Linked DNA regions of Mytilus edulis. The protein of the gene in region 1 interacts with the protein of each later gene in a pairwise test. Links are inferred from orthologs where the notes say so. Each region holds a gene or a part of one and is shown in the gene's direction. Other genes may lie near its edges. The genes, in order: general transcription factor IIE subunit 1-like and transcription initiation factor IIE subunit beta-like.

Region 1 (16,190 bases):
ACTCTCCCTCTGGTATCTTTCGTCTCTCTTTTATAGGGAACCACTAAAGGTAGGTCACTGATATTTGGTATGCAGATGTTTAAGCATTTGCTGATACCATTTCCAGGGAGATTTTTTTGCTACGCCCCCCCCCCCCCCTTAGTTTGTGATTAGGTCTGTTCAAGGGGAATCATTAGAGATAGGCCAATGGTATTTAGTATTCAGTTGTATAAGCACTAGCACAGCTCTTTCCATGGAGATATTCGGCCCCGCCACCCTAGTCACGGTCTATTGACTTTGAAACATTTTCTTTATATCCTAGGCATATATTACCTTAACCGCATGTGGCACAACTTTTTGGAATTTAGGGTCCTCAATGCTCTTCAACTTTGTAACTAGTTTGAACTGAGCTTCACTAATGAGTCAGATGTAGACGAAACGCACGTCTGGCGTTTTAAATAATAATCCTGTACCTTTGATAACCATTTGCGATGAACTGCTAATGTAAAGTCCGTGATATTTGGTATGCAAACTTTATTGGAATTTGTAAGTCTTATTTCCTTGGAGATTATAAAGCCCAACCCCTCATCATAGGGCATAGACATTGCATTGTTTACATGGTTTACAAGTAATTTTTTTGTTTAGGTTTGTTCAAGGTCAAGTAACAGTAAATGAACGCCGTCTACCGGATTCCGCGAAATATTGCGACGTTTTGTACGAATTACGTCCCTTTGACTATATTTTCCATTGTTGCAACCGGCGACATTCCGACGGGACAATAGTTAATTTGATGGAAAGTATGCAACTCCTAGGAGAATGAACTTGTTTGCTAATATTGAAGATGAAGAAATACTACAGGATTTGAAAATGAATATGAAAAAAATCATGAAGAAGATTTTCAAAATGAAAATCACGAACCTGCTGACTGGTATATTCGGTTCCTAATAAAAAGAACATTCAGTGGATCCTTAAAGGAATTTTGTAGTATTGATTCATATGGTTGTCTCCTCAAAGGAAATTGTTCTAGGCTATAACTTGAAGGTCTATATCATACTTCTACTATATATCTTCTAAAATCTACTTAAAAAAATATATACACACACTTTCTGTACCTAAAGTTACATGAAAATCCCGTAAGTCAATACTTCAATAGGACAACAACCAGACAACATCACCAGGCAAAAAATGGAAATCAAAAAGAAAAGACATCGATGATGATATGCATGTGTGCAGAAGTACTATAACAAAACAAACAATTTCCAGTCGTGTCCCAGTCTGTGTTTTTGTTGATTTTTTACGGGGATCATTCTGGTAGGCAACTTAAATTATAAATATGTACATCTGTTTTTATGTAATGTCTCAACCTCCGTATGTTTAGATTTCTTGTAAATGTTTTACACGTTGTACCATCTGGAAAATACACTGAAAGCGAAATTCAGAGACAAAAGCACATTAGTTTATTGTCACATATCATAAGATCGAAAAGGGGGTTGCACAATAAAGGATACTGGCGAATGTAAAAATTGAACAAAAGAACTAAAAGTTTGCAAAATTATAATTAAAAACAAAGAAAAATGAAATTATAAATTTAATACAATACTGATCACAGACAAGAACCATGTACTGAACAGATTAAAGAAATAATTCAATGAAAGAAGAATTTTACAATATAATTTTTGTTGAGATTTGCTTACCCTTCCGGAACAGCTAATTTCAATCCCGGTTTTTAGTGGAGTTCGTGTTGTTTCTTAATTATCATTTATAACTGTTGATGTAAATATCCTTTGGTTTTGCGAGTCTTTGTCTACTCCTTGGTTTTGATTGTTATTGTCCTTCACAGAATAAGCGTTAGGGACGACATAAAAAGAGACAGTGAAAAAAACTATATGAAATAAGTTTTAGGCATTTAATATTCAGGCACACAATTCATGTATACCCTTATATACATGTCAATTTTCGTCAACTAAACGGAAAATGGCATAGCTTTCGAAGTCTCTACGTGGATTGAAATTAAAACATAATAATATTTGTGCTGAAAATTAAACAATGTTTAAATCCATTGAAATGACAAGTAAGCAGCCATGATATATTTGAACTACTCTCAGTGTAATGTGTTCTTTTTAAGTTATTGAAAACTTTTCTTGATACTTAAAATATTGACACAGGGAATAACAAATATATACACAATAGGTTATTATAGGAATGTCGTTTGTTTGCTGAAAAAACACGTCCTCTAAACGTTATAAAATTTGGAATCAAGATGTTAGTTAATTTTCAAATGAAAATTAATAATTTCACTCATGTATCCGAGGTATTGCATCCAGTTTTTGTTTTTTGTTTTACATAAAGGCAACAGTAGTATACCGCTGTTCAAAACTCATAAATCCATGGACAAAATACAAAATCGGGGTAACAAACTAAAACCGAGGGAAACGCATTAAATATAAGAGGAGAACAACGACACAACACTAAAATGTAACACACACAGAAACGGACCAAGCATCAGACAAAATCCCACGAGAATAACAAATATAACATCAAAACCAAATACAGGAATTTGGGATAGACAAGTACCGTGACACAGTCTTATCGCAATGTGAAATTACACTAAAAAATAAGAGAAAACAAACGACGCAACGTAAAAATGTAACACACACAGAAACGAACAATAATATAACAATGGCCATATTCCTGACTTGGTACAGGACATTTTTAAAGGAAAAAATGGTGGGTTGAACCTGGTTTTGTGGCATGCCAAACCTCGCACTTTAATTGCTATGTTAAATATAACATTGAAATGACAACATAATATTACTGGACTACAATACAAATAAATAGGAGAACGTATTAGACAAAGAAATACATGATTAATGGATAACCAAAAACATCAGGTTTAAATTCATTACGCCAAAAACGCGCCTCGTCCACACAAGACTTACTAGTGACGTCCAGATATAAAAGATCGAAAGTGAAAAAAAGTACAACTTTAGATCAAAAGTTGAAAAAGGTTGTGTCAAATACGGCTATGTTTTTATGCTTGGGATAAGAACATCCTTATTATTTAGAACAATTAATGCTATACAATAGTTTCCTATCCCTCCTTAAAATCAAATCAATAACATTATATTGTAAAGTATGCAATACCACCATAAACAAATCAAACGAGCAAATCATTTCGGTTAATATTCTTTCCAGGTGCACATTAATGGATGACTGTCCTATGACAAATATATATAAAAAAAAAAAAGCTTCCTGCACTCGAGGTGAGCCGCTAACACTAAATCAACTTGGGGGTTAAATCATAACTGTGTTTAAAAAAATAGGGAGCAAATGGTCGAAGTCATATAATAATTTTCAAAACACAATGATACTGTTGTATGCAGTTAACAGCATATGATGGCAAACACTTTTTTTTATATCAGAAGTTGCTTAAGTTAAACTGTGAGCTAATGCTCACAAATGTTAAATGTTAAAAATTTTCGATTTGAATATTGATATATATCTAAGATAGCTGCATAGTTTGATGAAAATCCAAGTTGGTTTGAAAAAGTTAAAAAAATTAAAGATGCCTATCTGAATTTTTATATAATAATTTTTTTAGCTCACCTGGCCTAAAAGGCCTTGTGAGCTTTTCTCATCACTTGGCGTCCGTCGTCGTCGTCGTCGTCTGTCGTCGTTAACAATTTTTCAAACATCTTCTCCTCTGAAACTACTGAATGGATTTGAATGAAACTTAACATGATTGTTCCTTAGTATATCCTGCACAAAATGTGCGCTTCGATTTTTGATCCGTCAAAAAACATGGCCGCCGTTACTTAAAATAGAACATAGGGGTCAAATGCAGTTTTTGGCTTATATCTCAAAAACGAAAGCATTTAGAGCAAATCTGACATGGGATAAAAATGTTCATTAGGTCAAGATCTATCAGCCCTGAAATTTTCAGATGAATCAAACAAACCATTGTTGGGTTGCTGCCACTTAATTGGTAATTTTAAGGAAATTTTGCAGTTTTTGGTCATTATCTTGAATATTATTATAGATAAAGATAAACTGTAAACAGCAAAAAAGATCAGCAAAGTAAGATCTACAAATAAGTTAATATGACCAAAATTGTCAATTGACCCCTTAAGGGGTTATTGTCCTTTAATGACAATTTTTCACAATTTGTTCATCATATTTGCTAACTTTAAAAAATCTTCTTCTCTGAAACTACTGAATGGATTTGGTTAAAACTTAGCATGGTTGTTCCTTAGATTATCCTGCACAAAGTGTGTGCTTTGATTTTTGATCCGTCAAAAAACATGGCCGCCGTTACTTAAAATAGAACATAGGGGTCAAATGCAGTTTTTGGCTTATATCTCAAAAACGAAAGCATTAAGAGCAAATCTGACACGGAGTAAAAATGTTCATTAGGTCAATATCTATCAGCCCTGAAATTTTCAGATGAATCAAACATCCAATTGTTGGGTTGCTGCCACTTAATTGGTAATTTTAAGGAAATTTTGCAGTTTTTGGTCATTATCTTGAATATTATTATAGATAAAGCTAAACTGTAAACAGCAAAAAAGATCAGCAAAGTAAGATCTACAAATAAGTTAATATGACCAAAATTGTCAATTGACCCCTTAAGGGGTTATTGTCCTTTAATGACAATTTTTCACAATTTGTTCATCATATTTGCTAACTTTAAAAAAATCTTCTTCTCTGAAACTACTGAATGGATTTGGTTAAAACTTAGCATGGTTGTTCCTTAGATTATCCTGCACAAAGTGTGTGCTTTGATTTTTGATCCGTCAAAAAACATGGCCGCCGTTACTTAAAATAGAACATAGGGGTCAAATGCAGTTTTTGGCTTATATCTCAAAAACGAAAGCATTAAGAGCAAATCTGACATGGAGTAAAAATGTTCATTAGGTCAATATCTATCAGCCCTGAAATTTTCAGATGAATCAAACATCCAATTGTTGGGTTGCTGCCACTTAATTGGTAATTTTAAGGAAATTTTGCAGTTTTTGGTCATTATCTTGAATATTATTATAGATAAAGATAAACTGTAAGCAGCAAAAAAGATCAGCAAAGTAAGATCTACAAATAAGTTAATATGACCAAAATTGTCAATTGACCCCTTAAGGGGTTATTGTCCTTTAATGACAATTTTTCACAATTTGTTCATCATATTTGCTAACTTTAAATAATCTTCTCCTCTGAAACTACTGAATGGATTTGGTTAAAACTTAGCATGGTTGTTCCTTAGATTATCCTGCACAAAGTGTGTGCTTTGATTTTTGATCCGTCAAAAAACATGGCCGCCGTTACTTAAAATAGAACATAGGGGTCAAATGCAGTTTTTGGCTTATATCTCAAAAACGAAAGCATTAAGAGCAAATCTGACACGGAGTAAAAATGTTCATTAGGTCAATATCTATCAGCCCTGAAATTTTCAGATGAATCAAACATCCAATTGTTGGGTTGCTGCCACTTAATTGGTAATTTTAAGGAAATTTTGCAGTTTTTGGTCATTATCTTGAATATTATTATAGATAAAGCTAAACTGTAAACAGCAAAAAAGATCAGCAAAGTAAGATCTACAAATAAGTTAATATGACCAAAATTGTCAATTGACCCCTTAAGGGGTTATTGTCCTTTAATGACAATTTTTCACAATTTGTTCATCATATTTGCTAACTTTAAAAAATCTTCTCCTCTGAAACTACTGAATGGATTTGGTTAAAACTTAGCATGGTTGTTCCTTAGATTATCCTGCACAAAGTGTGTGCTTTGATTTTTGATCCGTCAAAAAACATGGCCGCCGTTACTTAAAATAGAACATAGGGGTCAAATGCAGTTTTTGGCTTATATCTCAAAAACGAAAGCATTAAGAGCAAATCTGACATGGAGTAAAAATGTTCATTAGGTCAATATCTATCAGCCCTGAAATTTTCAGATGAATCAAACATCCAATTGTTGGGTTGCTGCCACTTAATTGGTAATTTTAAGGAAATTTTGCAGTTTTTGGTCATTATCTTGAATATTATTATAGATAAAGATAAACTGTAAACAGCAAATATGATCAGCAAAGTAAGAGCTACAAATAAGTCAATTTGACCAAAATTGTCAATTGACCTCTTTAGGAGTTATTGCCCTTTAAAGACTTTTTTCACAATTTGTTCATCATGTTGACTTACTTTAAAAAATCTTCTCTTATGAAACTGCTGTATCAATTTCAGCCAAACTTAGGCTAAATGAGTTTCAGAGTTTCAGAGTATCTAGTATAAATTTTATATTTCATTTCCTTGTATGTCAAGAAACATAGCTCCTATGGCTAAAATAGAACATAGGAGAAAATGATTTTTTTTTGCTTTTGAAGAAAATAGGACGATTCAAAGAACATTTAAATAAATTGAAAAGCCAAAATAATCATTGATGAGAGATTAAACCAAAAAAATTCAGGTGAGCGATTCAGGCTCTTGAGAGCCTCTTGTTTTACATATTGTAAATTATACCCGGTTATTTCAAGTTTTGTTATAAATGTTAATAAAAATTATTTCAAAGTAATCGTTTGAAAAAAAAATTGTGTCCTATGGATATTATCTGTGAAAAAAGTGATGTCCCAACAAAAGCGATTCCAGAAAAAAGTATCTGTCCTACTGCACTTTGCACCGGTCCTATGTGACGATAAATTTTGACCAGTCCCTAAGATCATGGAACGCAAGATAATTTTTTATCGAGGACCATGAATTTCAATATTGTTGAAAGCTCAACAGACATGTATATAACTAAAACAGGGACTTTAAATACAGTCTAGTATATACTTAGTATAGAAATTCCCTGCTACAACGATTGGTGGTGTCAGTTTAGCTGCTAAGGAATGGACCATAATGTTCTCGTACGATCGGGAGAAGCGGTTAAAACAGCTGATTCAGCCGGTAACGAATTCCCGATATCATAAAAGATTCACAATTTAAAGGGAACTCCCTCTGCTCAATTGAGTCCCTAAATAAATGTGAATAGTTAAGTTTTATTCAAAAATATGTGTTCTGAAACGGTTCACTTTCGATCACAAATTCGGAAAATGACGCATATCACGTATCATGATAACACTGTTAAAACTGTAAACTTGTGTTGTTTATAAAATAAATTCAAGTTCTTGGCGTACATACCGATATTGTCAATATGCACATTATTACTTAAAAAAAAAGTTTTGGTGTAGAAAATTCAGGGGAGGCCTCCCCTGCCTCATAGGTAGTTACGGCCCTGACAGGGTAAACGTAATACTGGCTGTTACATAATAAATGATATTAACTCTCTTGTCGCTACAATTGTTTTCTTTTGCATATTCTTTAATATTTATTGGAGTAAGTAATTTTAATTAAAAAAAATATGTTTTCTTGTCGCTTCTTGTCGCTTTTTGACGCTTCTTGTCGCTAAAATTCTTCTTGTCGCTAATTAGTGAGACCGAATTCCGAACTTGTTTTAATTTTATGTATAATAATTTGTTTCCGGTACAAGAAAATTGTCAAACATAAAGAACCTAGGCGCCAAATTAAACCTAAATAGTATGTTAGCGTATGTCTGAGGTACAGAAATGATGATAGAAACGTAGCTTAGGAATAGATAGAATCCTCCATGGTATTGTTAAAAATGTAAATTATACCTTTTCTTGACATAAGATGATATGACCAAGTGTTGCCTTGCAAATGCCTTTTTCAGTTTTTGGTCCCCAAGATGAAGTTGCCCAAGGAACAGCCAATTGTTTCTATCAATGCGGATGGGATCAGACCTATAATCCGACAGTCCCATAATCCGACAGTCCGGTAGTCCGACAGTCCTTTAATCCAATAGTCTGACAGTCCTATAATCCGACAGCCCGATAGTCCGACGCACAGTCACTTGTCTCTGAAAAGTATGCCTATATAGACATGGAACATTTGTAAATTGGTATATTATTTTCACACAACAAATTAACAAATCAGTCAGTATGACGTCTTGTACAGGACCGCAATAATCCCATACAATTGGAAATGAACGGAATCCGGGTCCGTTCACCTTAAAACGTGATCGCTCTCATTCAAATTCGCCCCCTTTCACTTTCATACCCTACACGTTCTTACCAAAAGTCTGTTTGCACCCTATACGTTTGCTTTTGTTTATTATGAAAACAATGATAAACATATTTATAGCAATACTATTACTGCCCAATTAATATACTAACCAAAACTCGATTTTTTTTCATTATTTCATATTAAATTGACATTCTAAAAACATTTTTTTTGTGATGATGGTTTGGTTAGAGACTTGCAATGACTATATATTTTTTTCATTGTTTCAAAATAAAGACAATGAAAGAGGCATTCTGGCAACGGTTTTGTGTTGAATAAATCTAAATCATGTTTTGGTTAGTGTATTTGTATTGCTATAAAAAAAATCATTGTTTCTTAATAAAGTGCCTTTCTTATTTCGTGCTGTCATTTTGGGGATACGATTGCTTTCAAGCAATCTGTAGACTTTAATATACCGGTGGCTCAGAGCATTGCCCTCACGTCAATCGTTTTATTCTAAACATTAAGGAACATCTCAGATTCTTATGATTGTCTTACTTTAAAAGGTAAAAACAAACAAAGGGATTGAACTTAAACAACTTTCTTATAATGTTCTTTTCATAATCTTCATGTTTGATAATTCCCTTGACTTATATGTGTGTTTTAAACAACACGGAAAATCAGAATAAAGCAGTATTTATATTTAGTATTTTTATAAATTTAGAAACACGTCAGAGGGAAATCCCAGTTTTGATATATAAAATGCGAGAGTTCTCTGAATTCCGATAAATCTATTTCTGTCATTTAAGAACTGAAGTGGAGTTTTTCTTATATGTTACCGTTATGAAACTGATATTTGAGATTGTTCTTCCATAAAGAAATAGAGAACCATCTAGGTCGTTTAATAAACATTTAATATACGTTCTTGCTCCAGGGTTTGTTTTGGAAATTATGCGCATGCGTATAGTTTTCTTGACTTCAAGGGGTTTTAGATTGAATGGTTGCTCTGGATTCTACACTCAATTGATTAATTTATAACTCATGAGATTTTTTCTATGTATGTCTGCTATTGAAGGTTATTGTTGTTGCATAATTTTGAATCATTTATGCATCATTTAAATAAAAAAAAAAGGAATCCTTATTGTAGAACACCCCTTCCGTGAATTCTGAATCAAAACATACCGTCGAGTATTAGCTCGTTCTGTCAATAAATGTCGTATTATATTAAAAACGATCGCATTTTAAACCGATAAATGTGTACGGAAAGGAGTCATGATCACTGACCCAAAGGAAATTAAATATTTAAAGAGTTAGGAATGGGGTTCCTCCTAGAATTAACGTAGGAAAATAGGTGATAAGATACGAATTGAAATACCTTCTCTCAGTCTGAGTCTCAGTGAGTGCTGTGGAAAGTAAACTTGGAATTGATAGTACAAAAATAAAACATAGGCCTGATTACATTGTTCATACACTTTTATCCGTGATTGGCTATTTTGTAACTATTTTAAATGTGCAGTTGAATTAGTTTTGAAAATAATATTAATCAGCTACATGTATACATGTGTCAATGAAACAAAGGCAATCGTATCCCTCAGAGCAATCTGCTCTTTGATTAAAACTTCAGCACTGCAGTCGTAGGTCTTAACCGCTATATATATAGATCTGCTTTGTTTGCGTACTGTCTTCATGTCATTGCCCATCTTCATTCCAATCTCAGGTGCCTTGGAAGGGTAAGCAGATCCTGCTCCACATGTGGCACCCGTCGTGTTGCTTTTGTTATAACAAATTCCAGTAAATAGTCTAATTCAGTAGGTCATATTCATGAAAGGGTAATGAAGTTGTAATTTTCCATGAGAGTGCATCAATGTGAGAGCGAGCGTGACAATACATGATTTTCCAAGTACAGGTTCATAAAACAGAGGTGAGCTATTCTCATTCACCAAATGTTCTTTTGTAAGTTGTTAAGCATAACAAGATATTAATTTCCAGTTGTGAGCGGGCGATTCATGTCCTTCAAAATACGAGTTCATACAACGGAGTGAGCAAGCCAATTATCTTGTCCAAGCTTTTAAGAATGAATAAAATCAATTGCGTTGTGAGAGTGGGCGAGGCGATGATCCTTCAAAATAGGAGTTCATACAACAGTGAGCAAGCCAATTCTCATTCACCAAAAGTTCTCTTGTCCAAATTGTTAAGCATCAGCAGTAATGAAGTTCTAGTTATGAGAGCGGATGAGTAGATAAATATCTTTCAAAATACGAGTTCCTACAACGGGGGTGAGTGAGCCAATTCTCATTCACCAAACATTTTCTTGTATGTATAGATAGAAATAAATAAATAATACCTGGCGAGGCAATATTTGTATTGCAAAAATCGAGTTGTTACAAAGAATAATAGCAAGTTGTTAGAGAAGACAGTTCAAGAAAGAATGCAATTTTAATCTCTCAGTGTTTGTAGAAACTCTTCAACACTAAATTTGCTCCTTTCTTGACAAGTACAGGGTTTTTATCACTCTGCACAACATTTACAGGAAAGACACCGACAATGCTGCAAATCGCATCTCTTCGCATTTCTTTGTATCTGATGTATCTTCTTTGAAGCTGTCTACAGTCAATGAATTTACAATTTGACGTCTGACATTTTGTCTGATACAAGTGCTGGTCATTTTTATGATATCGCGTATACATTTGCCGGTGGTTTTGAGCAACAAAGTAAAGCTATCATAATAAGATAAAACTGAATCCATCTCTGCCATCCCTAGCGCATCTGTCAGCTTCTTGCCAATAGGACAACACTGATTTTGGACATTTAATTATTAAACTTTTCATGCATATGTTGTTCTCGCAATTTTACCATTGTTTTGTTGTGTGTTATGCGATGTCTCATTGAAGGGCTTTACATGTAAATATTAACATTGTTTAAATATGACAGGAAAAAAATAAGTTTTTTGAAAATAGTACATGAAGTCGTTTAAAATAAGAAAAAGAAAGGGAAAAGTGGCCGCCAGCTTAACAGCACAAGAAACATGAAATATATTGTAATGCATAAATGCAAATCATATTGGTTTGCGTAATTTGTGTAATATTCATAACATTTGAATCACTTTTTAATTACAAAATACTTATAGAATCACATTTTACCGTTTATTGATTTACATTTGACCCCAGACTCTGCATATGATCGGTGAGCTATGCATTAACTGTATAACTGTATATAGATATATATTGTATTAAGATAATCTTTTTTACAAAGCTTGGGTAGAACTTTATACAAACAAAGCAAGTGAGCCGACCAAAGCTTTACTCTTCAAGCAATGGCATTATGAAATTAGCACTAATCAAAATTGTAAGGAGATGTGGTATGGAAGCCAACGAGACAAAACAATGTTACATTAACAAGAGTTTAAATGAAGTTGATGTAAGCAGTTTATACAACATGGCCTACCGCGAGAGGAAAAAAACGCCGTTATGACCATCATGAAAAACCCCGCTGTAATGGCAAAGCCCCAACATGAAAAAAAACCTGTAAAGCAAGTAAATCGAGAAAGCGAACTACCTTGTTCATGTATGTAATGATTGTCACCGTTTCCAGCTTTGACCATTATTTTCATGACACAGCAAAGTTATTTTCAATATAAAGATAAGTAAATAAAGAGTCAACAAAAAGACACATTTTATTTTTATGGGCTGGCATACAAGATTGGAATATGTTGCCAATTAATGTTAAAAAAAATAAAGAAAATAAAGGAATTCAAAATTAACGTCAAAGAGCTCTTGACCAAAAGTTTTAATCATAATTTTATATAAATTATTTTTATATGAATTTTTTTGTCATCTGGTCATATTAATTTGTGTGTTATCTTTTTTTGTATGTCAAAACTAAAAGCCCTTTACATGTAGGGACCCCATTGGAAACAAGCTTTAGAGCTTTCATGGGTTATCCCTGATAAAATATCAGCAAATTTTTTCATACACTTAAGGATACTGCCAATATATTTTACCATATATATGTGTTAGTATTGTCTTTATGTATCATATATATTTTGTTACTGTATAGTAATTATAAATATGCTTGATATTTATTTGAATAAAATATTATTATTTTAAAATCGACTGAATTTGATGAATCCGGTCATTTTTTTTCTCCAAAAATAACAGTAACGATAATTATCTTAGACCTCTTACTAATTAGGCTAAAGGTATTTTGATGAAAACTGGTAAATTTTTAACCAATTTGACGCTAACAGTAACCTAAAATGACTGTTTGACGCCTGAATGTAAAGGCATAACATGAAGTATGATGTACTACCCTCCTTCAACTTGGCACTTTCCTCACACAAGTGATCTAATCAGGCCCGTAGCCAGGGGGGTTCGTTGGACTCATGAACTCGACTTTAACAGTCACAATTTGAACCAAACGTTGACTTTAACAGTGCTTATTTGATTTCAAGGCTACGGGTATGCTGATTTAACGTCCCAATTCTGACTGGACATGACTGCTTTAAATTTCTTGTACATCACATAAGGCAAAACAGACACCCTACTTTGCCAAGGGTTTAACTGACAGTTGGAGGAAGACAAATTATTTTTATAATTTAGAATTTCTCAAGTTATGCTTAGCATGCTTAGCCTTAGGTCCCTTTTTTAACACATCAAATATCAATGGGTTGCGATTTCTCCAATGTAATATGTCAATGGGTCGATAATTTTCATCTTTCAATTAGATTATTGTATAAATGCTGGCATGGCTGTTATGTCGTTTAAAATCAAGTCAAGATGTATCCAAAAACCCATGTTGAGACCCCCATGCTTCATACAGACATTTTCCAAAGGAAATTGTAGGTTAAACCTCACTGGAATCAATTGATTTTTTAATTCTGTTAATTTCTTTCGGCTTTTACTTTCAGAAGCACATGTATAACTGACAGCCATCCATTTTAGTGCAAGATGGAACCAGAAGTGTTGACAGAAGTACCAGAGTCGTTAAAACGTTTGATAAGACTCGTAACACGTGGTTTCTATAGTATAGAGCACGCCATTGTTATTGACTTATTGGTACGTAATCCATGTATGAAGGAAGATGACATCATCGAACTATTGAAGTATGATAGGAAACAGTTAAGGTCTTATATAAACACTCTCAAAAGTGAGAAATTTTTGAAATTTCGTATGAGAGTGGAGACAGATACGGAAGGTAAAATGACACGCCATAATTATTATTTTATCAATTATTTAATGTTTGTAAACGTTGTCAAATACAAACTAGATCATGTGCGACGGAAAATTGAAATGGAGGAGAGAGACAATACTAGTCGAGCTTCGTTTAAATGCCCCGGATGTGAGAAAACTTTCACTGATTTGGAAGTGGACCAGTTATTTGATTTGAGTACGCAAAAGTTTATCTGTACATACTGTAGTGAAGAGGTTGTAGAAGACGAAAGTGCTGTTATGCAAAAAGATGCTCGAACATTACTGGCAAAATTTAATGAACAAATTGAACCTATTTATGTTCTACTCAGAGAGTGTGATGGTATATCTTTATCACAAGATATCCTTGAACCTGAACCAACTGATCTGAAGCACACTTCAAGGTATGTTGCAAATAGTCAAATATTAGTTTATTTCTATCTTTAGGTCTGGTCATTGCATTGTCAATGGTGTTTTAAGCTAAGCTCAGTTTTATGTTTCAGACAAATCATAGGTCCAGATATATAGAACTTTTAAGAAATACTGCCTTCATGTATATGTACATGTATATGCTAATAGAAATTGAAATATCTGGATAGCTAATAATTGTTTGTAGAATTCAGAAGATAACAAAAGGGGGGGGGAGGGGGGGTAGTGGCATTGTATATAATTTACCTAATGTAATGATGCTGTGTTTTGAATGCATGAGATAATTTGTATTATTACAAGTTTTCTAAATAGTGAGATTTTCTTTTTTCTGCCAATGTATTTGTCATGGCAGAAACAGTGCCCTCTGGTTTGCAATAAGGGTATGTTAAATATTCAGACGAAGCCAGAGTAAGGTATAGTTTGACATAAACTGATCATGAGTGTCACTTATTATAAACAAAACAAACATTTAAATCTGAAATTTGAGGGCACATGTTCCACAAATATATAGGATTGAAATATCTTACAGTCCTAGTTTACACTTTGAAGGATTTTTTATGCCCCTGCCACAGCAGAGCCAGATGGCCCCGGGTCATTAAGCATGTTATGAGTAACCTTGTCTGTTTGTTCCAAAGTTAGTTTCTGATCTCTTAAGTTTTAGTTTGCCTATAACTCAATGTTATTAAACTTGTACACTATGCGTATAACCACAAAACACAGATCAGGTTTGAATTTTGGTTGTGTCACTTGTTCTTGCGTTATGTCCCTTTATAATATTATATGCATATGCAATCTAAATCTCATGGACACATTGTCCATTTATTTCAATTCCAATAAGAAATCATCAAGGAAACTTGGATAATAATCCTGCATGAATAGTTGATATGGACAATGTATCAATCTATAAGGATCCAGAAACACCATAAAACAAAAATGTCAGATTTTTTAGTTTAATGAGTATTGCCAGAGTTATCTCTCTTTGTCAGAAACATCAAACATTTTATACTGTATATACACATGATAGATACATGTATCTAATAACACATTTATTTTGGCAACTCATTTCGTTTGTGCTACTGTGGTATATAAAATTGATATAAAAGTCAACCAGGTTACATCATTCCATCTTGATGGGTAGATGGGGGTCTGGATGGGGTCCTCCATTTCTCTCTTTTTGTTAAAGTAATTTTTCTCTTTTGTTAAATTTTAGCACCCGATTTATGATTATTCTATATTTTATTTTTTTTGGACAATTTTTCTGCTGCATTGGCCTATTATTCTCTATCTTATAAATCTCACTAAGATCCTCATAGGTACATGTACAATGTATGCTAGTGAGTGCACATGTGATGTTCTGCTTTGAATAAAATGAAAGATAGAGGAAATTTGAACAAACAAGGTATAAATTATTACAGGGCTATTCCTGTTGTGACAGTGCCTTGTTGACATGTTTACAAGGAAAAGCTACATAGCCATGATAGCTATGCTATTTTGTTTGACACAGTACATATATATTTTTTGAAAATACTACATTGTACTAAACAGGATTTTATTGTTATTGTTATACAATGTAATTAGACTAATCAATCACAATCAAAATTCAAAATCGGTCTAATATGAAAATCTTAATAGTTCTTCATTTATTTGTTTTATTTTATACAGCATTTGTCCATTATTCTCTATTTTGTAAATCTTACTAGACCTTCATACATATGCTAGTGGGTGGGATGTTCGAATTTGATTAAAATGAGATAGAGGGAACTAGTTTTTTAACCAGTGAAAACAAGGTTTGAATTGTTTTACATTCATTTTGTCATTTATCATGTTTATAGCCTTTTATAGCTGATGATGCGATATGGGCTTTGCTCATTGTTGAAGACCAAACATGCCATACAGTGACCTAAACTTTTCTATTAAACAATATCTACCAAGTATTAAACAACGAGTGATTGATCAGTGCACACAGGATCAATCATCAAAAATTCATGATTCATCAAAACTAAAATTTTATCAACAATTTCATAATTCAAAGCAGCGTAGTTCTTATGTTGATGTTCTAAGTAATAGATTAGAAAGGTCATCTCTGTGTAAAATTAGATTGAGTGCACACAATCTTGCTATTGAAAAGGGGCGATATTTAGGTTTAGCCACTGACGAACGAGTTTGTAATGTATGTAAATCAGGTGAGGTAGAAGATGAAAATCACTTTTTACTGAAATGTGAAATTTTTTCAAACTATAGATTTAACTTTAAAAATAAGATATTAAATATACTTCCTACATGTTGTAGTGAAAATCAGCTAAATATTAATAGTTGTATTAATAGTAATTCTTTAAAAGTCCTGAAAGTGACTAGTTCTTATATATATAAATGTCTGATGTATAGAAACGAGATTTTAGCTTCTTAATTATAACATATTTAAATACTAGTAACTGTATGCTGTATTCATTGTTGTAATGCACTGTAATATGGGCCTTTGCCAATTATTGTAATTGTGTTTGTGCCAATAAAATATTTGTATTTGTATTTGTATAAATGTTAATTTCTCTGTCATTGT
Region 2 (17,034 bases), on another chromosome or scaffold:
TGTGTTTGTGTTGACTGTTGTGGAAAGTCCAAAGAAGTGTTCGAAAGGCCTTTCCAATGTTAGTTCGGTATAATTGTATATTATTGCCCAGTTACAAACACTACCAGGGGATAATCCATAATTATCCCCAACTTGAGCCTGGTAAACTTGTTGTCTCCTTGTGAAATATAAAACATATTAAAAATAATTTCCTGCTTTAGTCTTTTATTGATAAAAAGCCAAAACCTTCTTGCTTTTCACTAGACAACCATGTCCTGTCAGGTTTAATTCTTATATATGTAGATAAAAAAATAAACATTAACATGGCAGCAATTGCTTTTACAGCCTTTAAGGCTTTTATTTTTTTTTACAGAAGAGTGTCCACCATGCACTTGCACTGCACTATATTAATAGTAGAATAGAATGATCATATACAAATAGATGAAAATTATATATACATGCAATTGTAATATTAATAATATATATAACAACAAACCAGTGTATTATCTATACGGAAGCCCTGGAGTGCCATGCAAAAAAAAAAAATCAACTTGTGCGCACAAGTTACCAACTTGCGCGCACAAGTTACTAACTTGCGCGCACAAGTTACTAACTTGCGCGCACAAGTTACTATCTTGTGCGCACAAGTTACACAACTTGTGCGCACGAGTTACACAACTTGTGTGCATGAGTTATTAACTTGTGCGCACGAGTTGTACAACTTGTGCGCACAAGTTGCACGTATCATCTTATAGACATGCGCTGTTTGGCTAAAGAGACTACTTTATGGAACGCCGTAGCTGCCGAATCATGTGACAAACATATGTTTATATACATGAATGCACATACTTTTCAATGTCTGCACATGTTTTTTTCTATTTATACACATACTTTGCATATATATGAACATAGTTGACTTTATATGCACTTATTTTTTATATATATATGCACATACTTTTCCTACATATGCACATCGTTTACCTTATATGCACATACTTTTCTATATATGCACATTTTTTATATATCTATTTGCACATATTTAACCTCATATGCATATACTTTTTTCTTATTCTACATATGAATGTACAAATGTAGTTCTGCATGTGAATACTTTTCTCAGTATATATGAACATAGTTTTTCAACGTAAGAATTACAATTCATATTAATGTTATCTGGTTTTTTTTTCAAACTGAACTAAGCCTAAGGGTTCCAATATCATAAAAGGAATGTTTATTAAGAATTTCATAATGTTGTATGTTGTTCAATTAAGCAACTGTTGGAATCATTTTTATATGAATTCAATATTATTTTGGTATGTATGATGGTATGGCGCTGTTGTCTTTATCTATAGTCACTTGGTTTTTATGTCAAAACGTTGAAGGAGTCGATTTGTTTTTATCGGACCACAGATGAATTGTCACGTTGTAATTGGTTAAACGCCGTCACGTGGTGACCCCCTATGAGACCGTATGGGGTTAGTAAGTTTCATATGGGGTTCATGACGCGTTAATGGCGACGTCATCTATTAATGTTGTTGTGTTTCATTGTTTATTTTTCAACAAAACGCCGTAGAAAAAGTCCAGCGTCCGATAAATTCGTTATACGGTTAACTACTGACCCCCTACAAATCCATAGAGGGTGAATACAATTCATGGATTTTACTAACCCTCTATGGATCCGTAGGGGTTCAGTAGCGAAGCGTATAACCTATAGTATTAAATTTTAACACATGGATTGTTACCACTAACGGGTCAAAAGTTGAAAAATGCATTCTTATAAAACTTAATTTAAATTGCCATTTTCCTTACCAAGTTTAATGTGTTTTCAAAGTATTCAGTATAGTCTAAGATCTCAAAATGTGAATTGTTTTCTATTATTATGGTGTTATAGAAAGGACCAAAGACGGGGAATTTTTTTTATGCCCTGCCGATAGGCGTATGGGGCATTATACATGTATTACCCTTAATCGTCCGTTTTACCGTCTGTCTTTCCATCTTTCCATTTTATTTTGCAGCACTCTAATTCAACTTTGCCTCTACTTAATTTGATAAAGCTCATACACAAAGGTAAAAAAACTATAAAACGCAAAAGTCACCTGCTGTACCACAGTTCTGCTCCTTTATAACTAGGAAAATTTCATTTCTTTTTTGTTTGTTTTTGCACTCTCACCTTAATCCCCAAATGCTGAAAATGTAGACGCAAAACAAGAAATGCAGAGTAAATCAGACAAATCATAATTTAGAACTGCAGCACGTCATATCATATTTGATATTCACACCTTTTTTAAAGCTTTTCAATACGTTTACTATACATTTTATTTTTACGGCGTCGGCGTTGGCTTCGCAATGTATTAGTTTGTGATTAGGTCTAGTTTATGTTGAACCACAAGTGGTGCTTCAATGATATGTTTTATGCAGTTGTATAAGTATTAGAACATCTCATTTCCATAGATAATATTTGGCCCTGTCCCCTTAGTAATTGTCTATTGACTTTGAAAATTTATTGGCATTTGCAAGTCATATTTTTATTTTGGTTTCAACATTTGCATTGTCAAAATTACAAAAAGTCGTTACATAACCATTTCAGTTTATTTTTTTTAATATTTTAAGGAAGTTATATATATACAGGTCCCTCGTGGGAAAATCGTTGACTACTATTCAGACGTTTTATATATATATAATATAATTATTTTCTGTGACTGTATCTTACATTAATTTGTAGGATCCTTTACTATAGATAATTTAGCTGATCTGTAACAGTAACATCTTCATGCCTTATATATCATGTACTGTAGTACGCCGCTAGATTAAAACTGACGTGGAAAGGTAACACATGGCCAGCGAAAGCTCTATTATTGTAGAGCCCAGGTGGTCGTGTGGTCTATCGGGACGGCTGCAGTGCAGGCGATTTGGTGTCACGATATCACAGTAGCATGGGTTCGAATCCCGGCGAGGGAAAACCCAAAAATTTGCGAAAGCAAATTTACAGATCTACCATTGTTGGGTTGATGTTTAGACGAGTTGTATATATATATATATATTTGACCTACTGCATTATTACATACAACATATGACAGACGGAAATTTCGAAATATAAGGCTATTACAAACAAAGTATGAAGCATCCAGGTATTATATCTTAATACCGAATACAAAGCTCTATAGAAATAGTTTTCGCCATCGCTGGACAGTAATACCTTTGTCTCACTATGAAATTTTACATTCACTGTTTATAGATTATTCCGACACCGACAAAGTGCATTCGGCTCTTACTAATGTTTTTACTAATAAAACATAAAACCTGTTTAAAAAAAAAGTTTGAAATCACGAATGCCCCCGCTTAAAATTTTCAATTTTCCAAGTTATAAAGGGGCATAATTGTCCAAAAAAGTACTGCCCAAAATTCTAACTCGGCCTAACTTTGTGTGATTATTAACATTGTGTGTGAATTTCAATAATTTTTGATAAGGCAAATTAACGACAGAGTGCGGAAACCAAACTAAATAAAATTGAGAATGGAAATGGGGAATGTGTCAAAGAGACAACAACCCGATCGTAGAAAAAAACTACAGCAGAAGGTCACCAACAGGTCTTCAATGTAGCGAGAAATTCCGTTCTTCAGCTGGCCACTAAACAAATATATTCTAGTTCAGTGATAAAGAACGCCATACTAATTTCCAAATTGTACACAAGAAACTAAAATTAAAATAATACAAGACTAACAAAGGCCAGAACAAAAATGTTATCTAGTAAAAATTCAAGGGCATATATAGTATCAAAGCATGTCCAATTGACATAGTTTTTTTGTTTATTGCTACTAAAAACTGACCTAACAGAGTTTGAACATATATATTCACATTCTGAATTTTTAAATGCCCATTTAATTAGGTGTGTGAATTTTTTCTTAATGAGAATGTGAGGCAATGTGGTATACAGGGTAGAAAAATCAAAATTTTCAACAGATTCAAAATCACCAATATAAGCATGCAATTTATCAACTACTTCCAACGAGTTCTTGACACTCCAAAAGTAATTAATTCCACTATTTTCGAAAGCCTTATTTGAATAATTTATTATCAGGTTTTTAATTGTACCAAGTGTGCTGGTAAGAAGATTATAGACAATTTAGTTGTGTAACAATGGCTTGAAGACGAAACAAATCTATATTTGTAAGGTCTTTTGTGTAGCTTCGGAAGCCAATACATAGTTGGAACGTTCATTGTATTTGGCTCTGCTTGTAAAGCGGTAGCTAAAATGCATTAATATAACTTGTGACCCGTTATCACTGAATTGTTAGGACAAAAACCACTGAATTCAACACGCCATTAGTGATAATAATCCTTGTGTTAAAATGTAATACAAACGACTCATACAAAATACAAAGTTATGGCATTAAAACAAGTGACTATAGATGAAGACAACAGCAAAATACCATCATACATGCCAAAATAGTATTGCATTCATATGAAAATGATTTCAAAAGTTGCTTAATTGAACAACATACATCATTAAGAAATTCTTAATTCACATTCTTTTTATGATACTGGAACCCTTAGGCTTAGTTCAGTTTGAAAAAACAACAGAAAAGCATAATATGAATTGTAATTCTCACGTTGAAAAACTATGTCCATATATACTGAGTAAAGTATTCACATGCAGAACTACATTTGTACATTCCTATGTAGAATAAGTCTGTGCATATATAGAAAAAAAGTATATGCATATGAGGTTAACTATGTTCAAATAGATATATAGAAAAGTATGTGCATATAAGGTAAACGATGTGCATATGTAGGAAAAGTATGTGCATATATATATAAAAAATAAGTGCATATAAAGTCAACTATGTTCATATATATGCAAAGTATGTGTATGCATAGAAAAAACATGTGCAGACATTGAAAAGTATGTGCATTCATGTATATAAACGTTTGTATTCGGCAGCTACGGCGTTCCATAAATAGTCTCTCTAGCAAAACAGCGCATGTCTATAAGAATACGTGCAACTTGTGCGCACAAGTTGTACAACTCGTGCGCACAAGTTTATAACTCGTGTGCACAAGTTGTGTAACTTGTGCGCACAAGATAGTAACTTGTGCGCGCAAGTTGGTAACTTGTGCGCACAAGTTGAATTTTTTTTTTTGCATGGCACTCCAGGGCTTCCGTATATCTACGACTATTATTATATAAGTATAATAGTCCAAGGTATACTGATTTCTTGCACTACAATATAATAGTTATTACGGTGAGGTTGAATTTCCTGTCATTTATTCATCCAAGCACGAACTTGTATCAGAAAAAAATATCTCTCTAAATTAACCCCAGTTTCAGGTATAGAGATGTGATCTGTTTCTGTGAAATGTGCTTTTGACCATCCACAAGAACCTGCGGTCATCCGATGTTCAGTACTTCAGTACTTTGATTAAAGATTATTTACACCGTCCTCCGTTGACCAATTGATAATAACATTAATCAAGGTTGTCTCTTTTAAAATAACAAAAAATGGATAAAGATAGCTTTGCGTAGGGGGTTAATTCATGTGATATAGTTTTGGTAAGTTTACAGAAATAGAAGGTCCATAATGCATTAATCGAGTAAAAATGGAGCAATTTCAGAAAACTTTAATGATTGGTTTAGGTGTTGGAAATACCTGATGGGTGCCCCCATATAATGCAATGTTCATGTCCGTATCTTATATAAAGTAACCCCATACAAGATTTTTACTAAAATTCTAAATAGACGGTGCACAATACAGTCATTATCATTTATGATAAGGAATCCGAATAAGATTAATTAATAGTTATATCAGTGACGGATTCAAAAAAAGGCGATCCGGCAGTTTGAAACCCTTTTTTAACTATCAATGCATTTGTATGGAAACATATATTTGAAATCCCCTTTTCTCCTGGATTGGACCCCCTCTCCATTTAAAAATGGCCGGAACCCCCAATGTATATAAAGTGATTTATGAGGAGATGCGCTTACAAAACCGGCGAAACATATTGTACCGGTCCAACGGACGAACGGAAAGACGGACTTCTTTATCACTATAACCCCCCGCTTATCAAAGTGGTGTACAATTGAGTGTCAGAGAGACAGCTCTACATCTTAAACAAAGTGAAGGAACTGTGATCAATTATAGGCTAAAAGTACGGCCTCGAATGTGTGTAAATACATGCATTTTTATATAACAACTAAATCTGTGTGTTTGTACAATTTTAAGTATAACGGAGGATATTTCTGAAACTTATATACTAGTATACATCAAACCTTCCTCTTATTTTAGCAACATTTAAACATCCTTATACTTAATGTAGTAAGTCGAGTACACCATATTAAGCTAAAAAAAAATGTTTCATAAGTTTTTAGGATGAGAATGTATTTAAATATATTTGTGTTATTTAGAAAAATGCCACCTTCTAATGTATCGTAAATAACTTTGAAATCACCACTAGAATACAATGACACAAAGACTGATCATACAGTTTTAAAATATACAAGCGAGACTGATCGTACAGTGAGAAATTCAAACAAGTGTAATTTTCTTATTTCTGGCTTCAAAGATCTGGTTGAAACTCTTAACACCACTTGAAATATACTTCATTTAGTTAATTAAGTCTGTTTTTTACGTTAATTTGTACACTAAGAGGGTAAAAAGATTGTGTTTAGGTTCGCCGACTGATTTTTTTAGTGATGCACTTGAAAATCTCTTGATTAAGGCAAAGATACGAATAATGAATGTGTGGAATTTAATTCTAAACCATTTGAGAATATCGATGTTGGCTGAATTAATCATTAAGCAATGTACAGATGATCAACTTACCGTTTTTTTTTCAGTATACCCATCAAATTTAAAATGTGATCCAAAAAGTTCTCGCTTCGAAAATCGCGACTTCCGGATAGCGTTCAGAATAGTATCTACACTGTGTAAACGGAATCTTTTTTTTTCTTACAGTCAACATTGTACTTTTACGCTGAGAGCAGCGATCCCAGGCCAGACACTTGAACTTTTATAATACACTTGACAATTTATAAAAAATCATTATTTCATGTGACATTAACAGAGTTTACACATGAATTTGGGACAAATTTATAGATAAGGACAAAATAATTAATAGAACGACAACATTGAAATGGAGACTTGCTCTTTGATTACCTTTAAAATTTGGATTTTTCGTCCAGTGATTGTTTTATCCTGTATTTCCTTTTAAAACAGCAGATTTTACTGTTTTGGACATTTTTCTCAAAAATTTGCCAATGCTCATTACATTTCAAATCAACACAATCAATAAATTAAACATGAAAATGACTCTGAAGTGTGATGCCATTGACGAGTTTTAATGAAGGAAATTGTATGTCTTTCTCGATTAGGGGACGGAGACGATCATTTAATATTCGGGGGGGGGGGGGGGGGGGGGTGCTGGATTTTGGTTATTTGGTTATTTATTTTTGTAGACTGTTGAAGCATGAATTTCATTAAAACAAGGCCGGACTGATTGTTTATTTTCACAACTATATTAGTTTTAATAATACTTTAAAACACACAATTTTTAAATTAATGTTTTTATTCTTAAATAGAAGCACATGTAGGATCTAGTCATTATGTAGCTTTTAATCAGAATTAATCATCATGCATCCTCTGGAAGTGAATCTTCTGATTTCTAAACTGCAATTATTGTATACGTACAAACCTGTATTAAAGTTGGGCTGTGACTAAGTTTTTTTTTTTTTAAAAACAAATGTTAAACATAGGTGCCAGGCATGCAGAACGCGATCGAAGTGATTTTTTTTCGGCAAAGAAATTTGGGCCACTGAAGGTCCCGAGCAGCTATAGAAAATAAGGATGAAAATCATGCTATTCTGCGCTTTTCCCGGACCCTTTCTTAACTTGAAACGCAAGTTCAGTTTTCTTTATTTTTTCGATAATGTTTTCGTCTCAAAGCCGTTTGAAAATATATAGATTCAGTGTAAAACTTTATTTATGGTATACAAAAGTCCGGCGTCTGTCTGTCAGTCCGTTCGTCTATCTGTCCGTTCGTCTATCTGTCCGTCCGTCTGTCCGTCGCCTACATGTTCGCGCACCGTAACTTGAGAACAACTTATCCAATTTTCATGAAACTTAACGTAGTTGTTTCTTATGATGGTCAAACGATCTGTATACTTTTTAGTGAAAATAAGATTTAAACTTTTTGAGTTACAGGACTTTGAAACTAAAACAGGGGGTGGGTGTTTTTTTCACATGCCGCGTCGTATCTCAGAAACTATTTATGATTATTGCATAAAACTTCACACCAGTGTTAGTTATATTAATTTGAAGATCTGTATACTTTTTCGTGATGGTTCTTTATTTAATTTCTGAGTTGTTGAATTTTTATTAAGCTTTTTGGTAAAAGAAAAAAAGTAGTATTTTTTGGTCACATTTTGCGCAGTTTCTCCAAAAGCGGATTTCAGTTTTATTTCAAAAGACTACGGGCGTATCATGCGCTCGGGGTGCAGCTGTTTGTTAGAATACGACCAGCCAGACAAATAGTCACTCGGGTTTTTCTTTTTTTCCAGTAATTTTAAAACATGATGGCATTTAAGAGAGAGAAATATGTTATTTTTTTTTAGTTTAAATGGTCAAATGCCTGTGGTAAGTGGGGTGCCTCAAGGCTCGGTCTTGGGGCCCCTTCTTTTTCTGATATTCATAAATGACCTACCTGCAACAGTAACATAAAAACACGCTTGTTCGCAGATGACTGTATTTTGTACAGAACAATTAAAAACCAACATGATTGTACCATCTTACAAACTGACTTAGACTGCCTAGCCAAATGGGAACAAACTTGGGGTATGCAATTCCACCCAGAAAAATGCAACTCACTAACTGTAACAAGATCTCAGTCACCATACAAACATAACTATGTACTTAAAGGCCACATTTTAGAATCAGTCAACAGAGCAAAATATCTTGGTATCAAGTTATCCAACAACATGTCATGGGATACCCATATAAGCAACATCACGGCTAAAGCAAACAAGATTAGTCTTTTTACGAAGAAACTTAAAAATTAATCAGGAAGAAACAAAAAGTTTGGCTTATAAACCTATGGTACGATCAAACCTTGAATACTGCTCTTCAGTTTGGTCCCCTAACACCCCAAAACAAAAAAATAATATTGAAAAGGTACAAAGAAGGGCAGCACGGTACGTCACCAACAGGTATCATAACACCAGTAGTGTCACTTCCATGATTGACCATCTTAAATGGAAGTCACTAGAAACTCGCCGAAACATCAATCGAGTAACAATGATGTATAAGATCACACACCAACTTATAGCAGTAGACCAAAACCTTTACCTCTCACCACAGCGAGTCAAAAACACCATATTCACCAATTCACTACAATATCAAACTTTCAGCACCAGAACAGATTACTTTAAGTACAGCTTTTTTCCATACACAGTTGTACTCTGGAATCAAGGAATTGTATATAAATATTCAATTTCTTGCTGGAATTCACTACCACAAAACATCATTAGTGTAAACTCTTTGGATCAGTTTAAAATACTGATCCAAAGTCAGTATATTATAATAGTCATCCACCCTGTTTGTACATATATGTAAATGAGTTATTTTTATTTATTTTGTTATTTTTGCACAAATTAAATTTTTGATTAATGCACTCATTAGATTGTTACTTTTTATTAAGTGTCTGCCGCGATGCGCCGACGTGTAGTCATCAATGTAGTGATGGATCGTCGTATGATGTAGATGTAGATGTAGAAATTAAAAAAACACCCCTTTAAAACATGTTGAAATAGAAGTAGGTATTTCGAGTTTTTTTACAGAAAAAAAAATATCCCACTTGTATCGCAAAGTCACGAATTTTTCATTTTGATATTGCGTTTACGAAACTGTTTCCGTTTCTGTTCCGGTATCGACTTGAGGTTTCCTAAAATATTTACTGGTTTCCTGTCATTACGACGACGTATATCTTCCTTTAACATATCATAAGGTTAACAGCAGATATCAGAGAAAGAATGGTGAATTTATATCGAGAGTAAATCTGATTATTAACAATCTTTTAATACTTGATTTGTAGAATAACAAGCTACATTTCACAAAAAAAAATTAGACTTTTCAATCATCTGAAGCGTCACATCGATTATTGTGGTATAAATTAAAGAAATTGAAAAAAAATTACCATAAGCAGCCGGTAAACATGGTAAAATTATTCCAAAGAATTATCACGTCTTGAAAAGTTGAAATGCTGTCATATTTTTTTTGCTTTGATGCCTTAGTAGCAGTAAGGCATTGTCGCAATCAGTTGTCAGCCTTTAAAGTCGTTTTAGACTACCTGTACCTGTACACAGATAATGTGTCCGTAGCTATTTTTCAAGGCGGCAAAATAAGAAAATTGTTCCACACACAGCAGCCCATAAGAGATAACATTAGAAGATGTCATGGTTTTATTACTAACACTACTTTCTGGCCTTTTTTTTCAATACACCTTTTCACTATCATGCAGTGAATCATGACTATAGTTTATGCATTGGCGGATCCAGGGGATGGGGTGGGGGGGTTCTGGGCATTTGAATGGGGACATATAGCTGGAACACCCCCCCCCCCCCTTTTTTATCCTGGGTTGGTTATGGTAAAAGTTGTAATCGTACAAAGATCTTCTCCTATGAAACTATTGAGACAAATATAGCTAAACTTGGTAATAATCAGTACACACTTTACTGATGTAATCTCATTGCAATTTATACCATAAATCTCACTATAATACATAATATTAATACAATAACCAAATATATATTTGCCGACTGCCCAACGTAATCTAGAGGACACCGAATTTATTACAAATAAATAAACATGACATGTGAAATATAACAGCATGTGTGATATAACCATACAGCATAACATACTGAGTTGTAATTAATAATTATAAATCATCAAAATTTCTCCATCCTTAACGATCCCGCCGGCCAGGAAAAACCAACTATGTCGATAGACGGCGTTGGAAACCTGTGTCCAAACCCTAACTTAGTCGAAAGTTAATATGCTCGAAAGACCGTTTCCGGAGTCATACTTGGACAGTATACTTAAAGATATGACATAAAACAAAAAAATGATATAAAGTGAAACATGAAACAATAATACATTGCACAAACATAATAAAAACCCAATTAAGATCTAGATATGAAATATTAATGAGAAACGATATATACAAATATCGTTAAGAAACTTGACTGTATCAGTGTTGGGTAGAGAGTGATTACTCCACGGGATTATTTCCCGCTCATTTATTACATGTACATGTAAACATGTGATAATCACATGATTAATCAGACGGAACGTTAGTACAATAATTTTCCTCTATACTGCGAAACGCGGAAAATTATAAGTACACACTTTACTGATGTAATCTCATTGCAATTTATACCATAAATCTCACTATAATACATAATATTAATACAATAACCAAATATATATTTGCCGACTGCCCAACGTAATCTAGAGATCACAAAGAAAGGGATGAAAAGAGCCCAAATTATAAACCAAGTTTTCTAGATACTGATAATCTCATATCTAAGGAATCAGCAATGTAACCATCTTTGCTAATATCTGATTTCCACCTTCCATGACGTTTAATACATCTCTCATTTACTTCTGACCTGGCTGCTGCAGAAGCACCACCAGAACGTAAAGAATGCAAACCTAGGTTCAAGTCAGGAGCTACAGTCTTTAATCTACGTACAATATTCTCTTTTGTGGCTGTATAGCTTAACTTCTTATTCTTATATATCAACTTAGCTAACCCCTTAGACCTAAAAATCGGTCGAAATATAAAATAATCCGAATTAACATCCAAACTAGCAAGTGAAATGTATCGCTTATACATAACAACTGGACATGCCAAAGTGTTACCCCTAGAAATAAGTATCTCGTTACCTTGTCTGTATTGATCGGTCTTGGACCGGGGCAGAAAAATAGAAATATGATCATCAAAAATCTTAACATCCCTACATGTAATAGAACTTAATTCGTCAAAGCGCAAAAATCCAGCATAGCCTATCAAAATCATAGTCAAATCTCTAACAATAAGCAAGTCATTTTCAAATTCATTAATTTTACAGAGTTCAAGTATTATATCCGAGGTAACAGGGTCCTTCTTTACGACTGGTTTTCCATTTAATCTTTTACATGATTGAGCTAACGAATGAATGTAAGCGTTATTTGTAGGATCAACGTAACCATAAAGCTCATGTACCCACTTTAAAGCATAAATTATCGAATCTAAAGTACAAGGTGATGACTTCTTGTCAATCAATAAAGTTAAAAACAATGAAACATGAATCGGATCTGCTGGTAATTCTTTAAAACCATATCCTTGAGCAAAAGATATCCAACGATTATAACTAGCAAAGTACTTTTTTGTAGTATTGTCACTTTTAGACTGGATAAGATAAACCGACATCTTTTCTGCTAATTTTCCAAGTTCAACCGAACATCCTACAGTACTCTTCTCTACAATCTCCACAACATGTTGCCTCAGTCCTAAGCCTGAAAATCGCAAATATGGATCATTAGAACATAATATTTAAAGCTATCAACCTAAATTTAAGTGGCCATTTCCCGAAAATGCCGTTTTTACCGGCACCCTTCACTATAACTTTGTCATTTGTAAGATAAATAGCGTCTGAAACAAAACTCTTAAAAATTTCTTGTGCACAAAGTAAAGGCCAAAATGCCGCCGATTTCCATTCTGGTATAACCAAAATACCATTAGCACGCTCATTGCACATTTTGTTTACTGTTTTTGCAATCAAAGAAGGTGGGGGTACCAACCAATTGTTGTCATTTCCCCAATATTGACTAAAACTGTCAACTGCTTCAGTTCCTGGGCACCATATAACTGAATTGAAACGCGAACAATGTGTATTGTAATGAGTGGCAAATCGGTCTATGCTACACGGACCCCAAATATAGTTTAAGAAACTGAATGTTTCATCGTTTAAAGACCAGTCATCGTGATCTGTATAACGACTAAGTTGATCTGCATACACATTCTGAGCCCGAGGGACCCAGCGAGTCTGAATATTAATGTTTTTCTGTTCACAAGATTCTAAAATATTAATCGCAGTTTTTTGTAGTGACAAATTTCTGCTCCCCACCGTCAAAATACGTGCGACATTTTGATTGTCACTGTTGACTCGAACTAATTTGTTCTCCAACAACGAATCTTGAGTATACAAAACTCTCTTGACGCATTCAAGTTCACGCCAAGTTGAACTCTCAAAAGGTTCATTACCTACCCAGTTACCGAATACTTCGGTACGATCATAAGTGGAACAAAAACCACCAAAGCCTACATCTGAGGCATCACAAAACAAATCGACATCAAAATTGTCGTGAAAATTAACTGTGCTTATATTCACACCTTTACTATTCCTTGCTCTGCAAGAAACTCTCCAAAATTCTAACTCATCAATAGCTTCTGATGTAATTTTTACAGATGCCTCCCAGCTTGCTCTACCGTTAACACAAGCATATAAAAATCTTGTTCTCAATCTCACGAGATCACCAAATACTATTTGCATTGATATGAGTTGACCGACTATGCCCGCTAAAATTCGAGCCTTTAACAAAACTTTACCTCTCCCAATCTCGGAAAGTATATAGTTTACAGTTTGCTCTGCTTTATCTATTCTCTCAGGACTGACGAATATTCTACCAGTTTCAGTATTCCAAATGAAACCTAACCATTTCAATTTTTGGCATGGATCCCAAACACATTTTTCATGTGCAATTAGAAAACCTAGCTTTTGAAGGTGAAATTTTACAAACTGACTACTTTTTTGACAAGATTCAAAATCTTTACCACCTCCCAAACCATCATCTAAAAACATAATAATTTGTTCGCCTTTAGATCTGAAATACTTTACAACTTCTCTGAGAACTTTGGTAAATATGTAACCAGCAGTGGCCAATCCAAATGGCAAGACATTAAAAACGAAATATCTGTTTGCACCATCTATCTCCCATGCAAAACCTAAATATTCTCTGTGCAATTCAACAATCTCAATATGGTGATAAGCACTTTTTAAATCATAGCCATATAGAAAATCATGTTGGTGAAAAATTTCCCTTGCTAACTTTGTGTCTTCATATTTAAATCTAAATTTAAATAAATGAGGATTGATGTGTCTACAATCCAATACCAACCTGGGTTTGCTCGATTTATTAAAAGCAACGGTCAAAGGATTAACTACACAAGGTATATCATTCACTTCTGATATACAACCTTTTGACAGCAAAGTTTCAATTTCTGACTTAACAAAACTTGCGTTATCAAGAGATGATCTGTTATTTCTAATAATTTTATGATCTGGTTCTGTTTTGAAAGGTATCTTATACCCGTTTTGTATAACATCAATTATATGTGTATTACCTGTGATTAATCTCCATTCATCGATAGCATTTTTCAATCTACCTACTGGACTAACCGGTTTTTCCACATAAGTAACAAGATCAACTTTTTGTAAACAATCAATTGTTATTGAAACCTTCTCATTGGCGTTTCTTATTTTGGAATTATTGCAATAAAAATTATCATCTGAGCTACAAAATAAGCTTGAACTATCTAAGTTTGATAAATATAAAGAATTACTTATCTTTTGTTTTCTATCAGGACAATTATCTGCCCAGTGCCCCCTTTTTCCACAATTGAAACACTTTCCAGGCTTGAAAGAATCATCTTTATCTGCATTCCTGGCATAAGGAACTTGTCTGGGTTTGATGCTTTTCTTGGTTTTCTCTGCTTTACTCTTGCGCTCTGCTCTAGACTGAGCTCTTAACATTTTTCTCTCATCTTCGGAGTCTTCTGCTATTGGGTTGGCAACATACTCATTAACCACTTTCCAACCGAGTTGAGAAGAATCTGCAAGTTTAATTAACTTTTGTCTCTCTTGCACAATGTCAATACCTTCTGAAATCCTGGATTTAGCATTCTGTACGGTCGCTCTGGTCAAATCATGAACTTCTAAGCTTGACTTCGCCTCTTTCAGCTTTGTTAGAACCTTCACACCATACTTGAATTGGTTTTCGTTGCCCTTCCTCTGAAAATTATAGTTATCGGTCAGAGTTTCCTCCATCTTGGCCATTTGAGTCTGCGAAATTTCTTGTTGACTTTCTTGTAAGGTGGTCTGCAAACTTGTCAGTTTACTGTCCATTATACCGTTTATACTGTTCAATAAATCCTGTTGAGATGTTGATATGGCATTGGAAACTTCTCTCGAAATGGCATTTCTTAAAGGGCTGCTCAACATATCGGTGTCCATCTTGACTGTATCAGTGTTGGGTAGAGAGTGATTACTCCACGGGATTATTTCCCGCTCATTTATTACATGTACATGTAAACATGTGATAATCACATGATTAATCAGACGGAACGTTAGTACAATAATTTTCCTCTATACTGCGAAACGCGGAAAATTATAATTATTAGGGTATCTTGTTTAAAAAAAATATGTCTGATGAATGCACCTGCCAACCAACATGGCCGACATAATTAAAATAGAACAGAGTCGTAAAATGCAGTTTTTGACTAATATCTCTGAAACTAAAGCATTAAAGCAATTTTAATGTTGGTAATAAAATTGAGAATGGAAATGGGGAATGTGTCAAAGAGACAACAACCCGACCATAGGAAAAAACAACAGCAGAAGGTCACTAGCAGGTCTTCAATGTAGCGAGAAATTCACGCACCCGGAGGCGTCCCTCAGCTGGCCCCTAAACAAATATATACTAGTTCAGTGATAATGAATGCCATACTAATTTCCAAATTGTACTCAAGAAACTAAAATTAATATAATACAAGACTAACAAAGGCCAGAGGCTCCTGACTTAGGACAGGCGCAAAAATGCGGCGGGGTTAAAATGTTTATCAGGTTAAGATATATTTGTCCTGAAATTTTCAGACAAATCGGACAAATTTTTTTTGCTTTTGGCTATTATTTTGAATATTATTATAGATACAGAAATAATGTTCAGCAAAGTAAGATCTACAAATAAGTCAACATGACCAAAATGGTCAATTGACCACATAAGGAGTTATTCCCCTTTAAAGTCAAATTTAACAATTTTTCGCAAATTTTTGTAATCTTTTACAAAAGTCTTCTTCTAAAACAACTGAGACAAATTTAACCATACTTGGCCACAAATAAGCATATTAAAGGGTATTTAGTTTTTTAAAATGTGTCCGAGACCCTGTCTGCCAACCAACATGGCAGACATGGCTAAAAATAGACAGTCAGGGGACTTACTGAAATAAGTGATTTTTAAATCACTTATTTGAGTAGCAAATTCGAGGTTTTGTCACAAATTGGGATTTTGTTGTGTTTTCAAAATTTTAAACACATAGGTTTAAATAACATCTTTTAATTAGTAATATTAAAAAATATGAACTTTTTGCTTCTTTTAAGTTGCAAAGTTTATGCCTTTGATGCTATCATTTACTTGAAAATTCTATTTTAGTTGAAAAAATGCTATAATAATGGCTTTACATAATGAACTGATACTTTCTTCAAAGATTTTTCACAGCAGTGGGAGTATTTTTCCTGTGAAGTTCAAGGTTTCATCTTTCAGATTATGTAATAAAATTCTACTGTTCGCGATAAAAATTTCACTGTTCGGGGGTGTTGAAATTTGTGGGGGTTATTAAAAGAATGATACTTAAAGAAGTGATTTTTGGGAAGGAAATTGAGGTCTGATACTTAAACAAGTGATTTTTATGTCATTATCCTAGATTCAGTACAAGGTCATCACCTGAAATGACCTGGTCATCCTAGACAACACAGATGTTGGTTCTGATAAGTTTAGAAACATAATTAGTCCCTGGATCATTAGTATTCTATATTTAAAGCTACACTAATACTAAATCACTTCTTCTAGTGATTATTTTGTACTACTTAAATAGGTGATTATTAAAGAAAGACAACTCTAACTTCCAACCTTTATGGAAATAATGTTACTTGAATCAGTGATTTAGAAAATCACTTGTTTAAGTAA

Evidence for each region.
Region 2: the proteins of general transcription factor IIE subunit 1-like (region 1) and transcription initiation factor IIE subunit beta-like interact in a two-hybrid assay, tested with the Drosophila melanogaster proteins (2 studies listed by BioGRID). The link is inferred for Mytilus edulis from reciprocal best matches to the Drosophila melanogaster genes TfIIEalpha and TfIIEbeta.

Annotation. Positions count from the first base shown.
Region 1 is NC_092353.1:68,918,387-68,934,576, forward strand, and holds the start of general transcription factor IIE subunit 1-like, read left to right. Parts: upstream 1-7,435; 5' UTR 7,436-7,535; exon of another isoform or gene 7,536-7,622; intron 7,623-12,924; 5' UTR 12,925-12,964; coding exon 12,965-13,608; intron 13,609-16,190.
Region 2 is NC_092344.1:17,765,885-17,782,918, forward strand, and holds the start of transcription initiation factor IIE subunit beta-like, read left to right. Parts: upstream 1-9,905; 5' UTR 9,906-10,004; intron 10,005-17,034.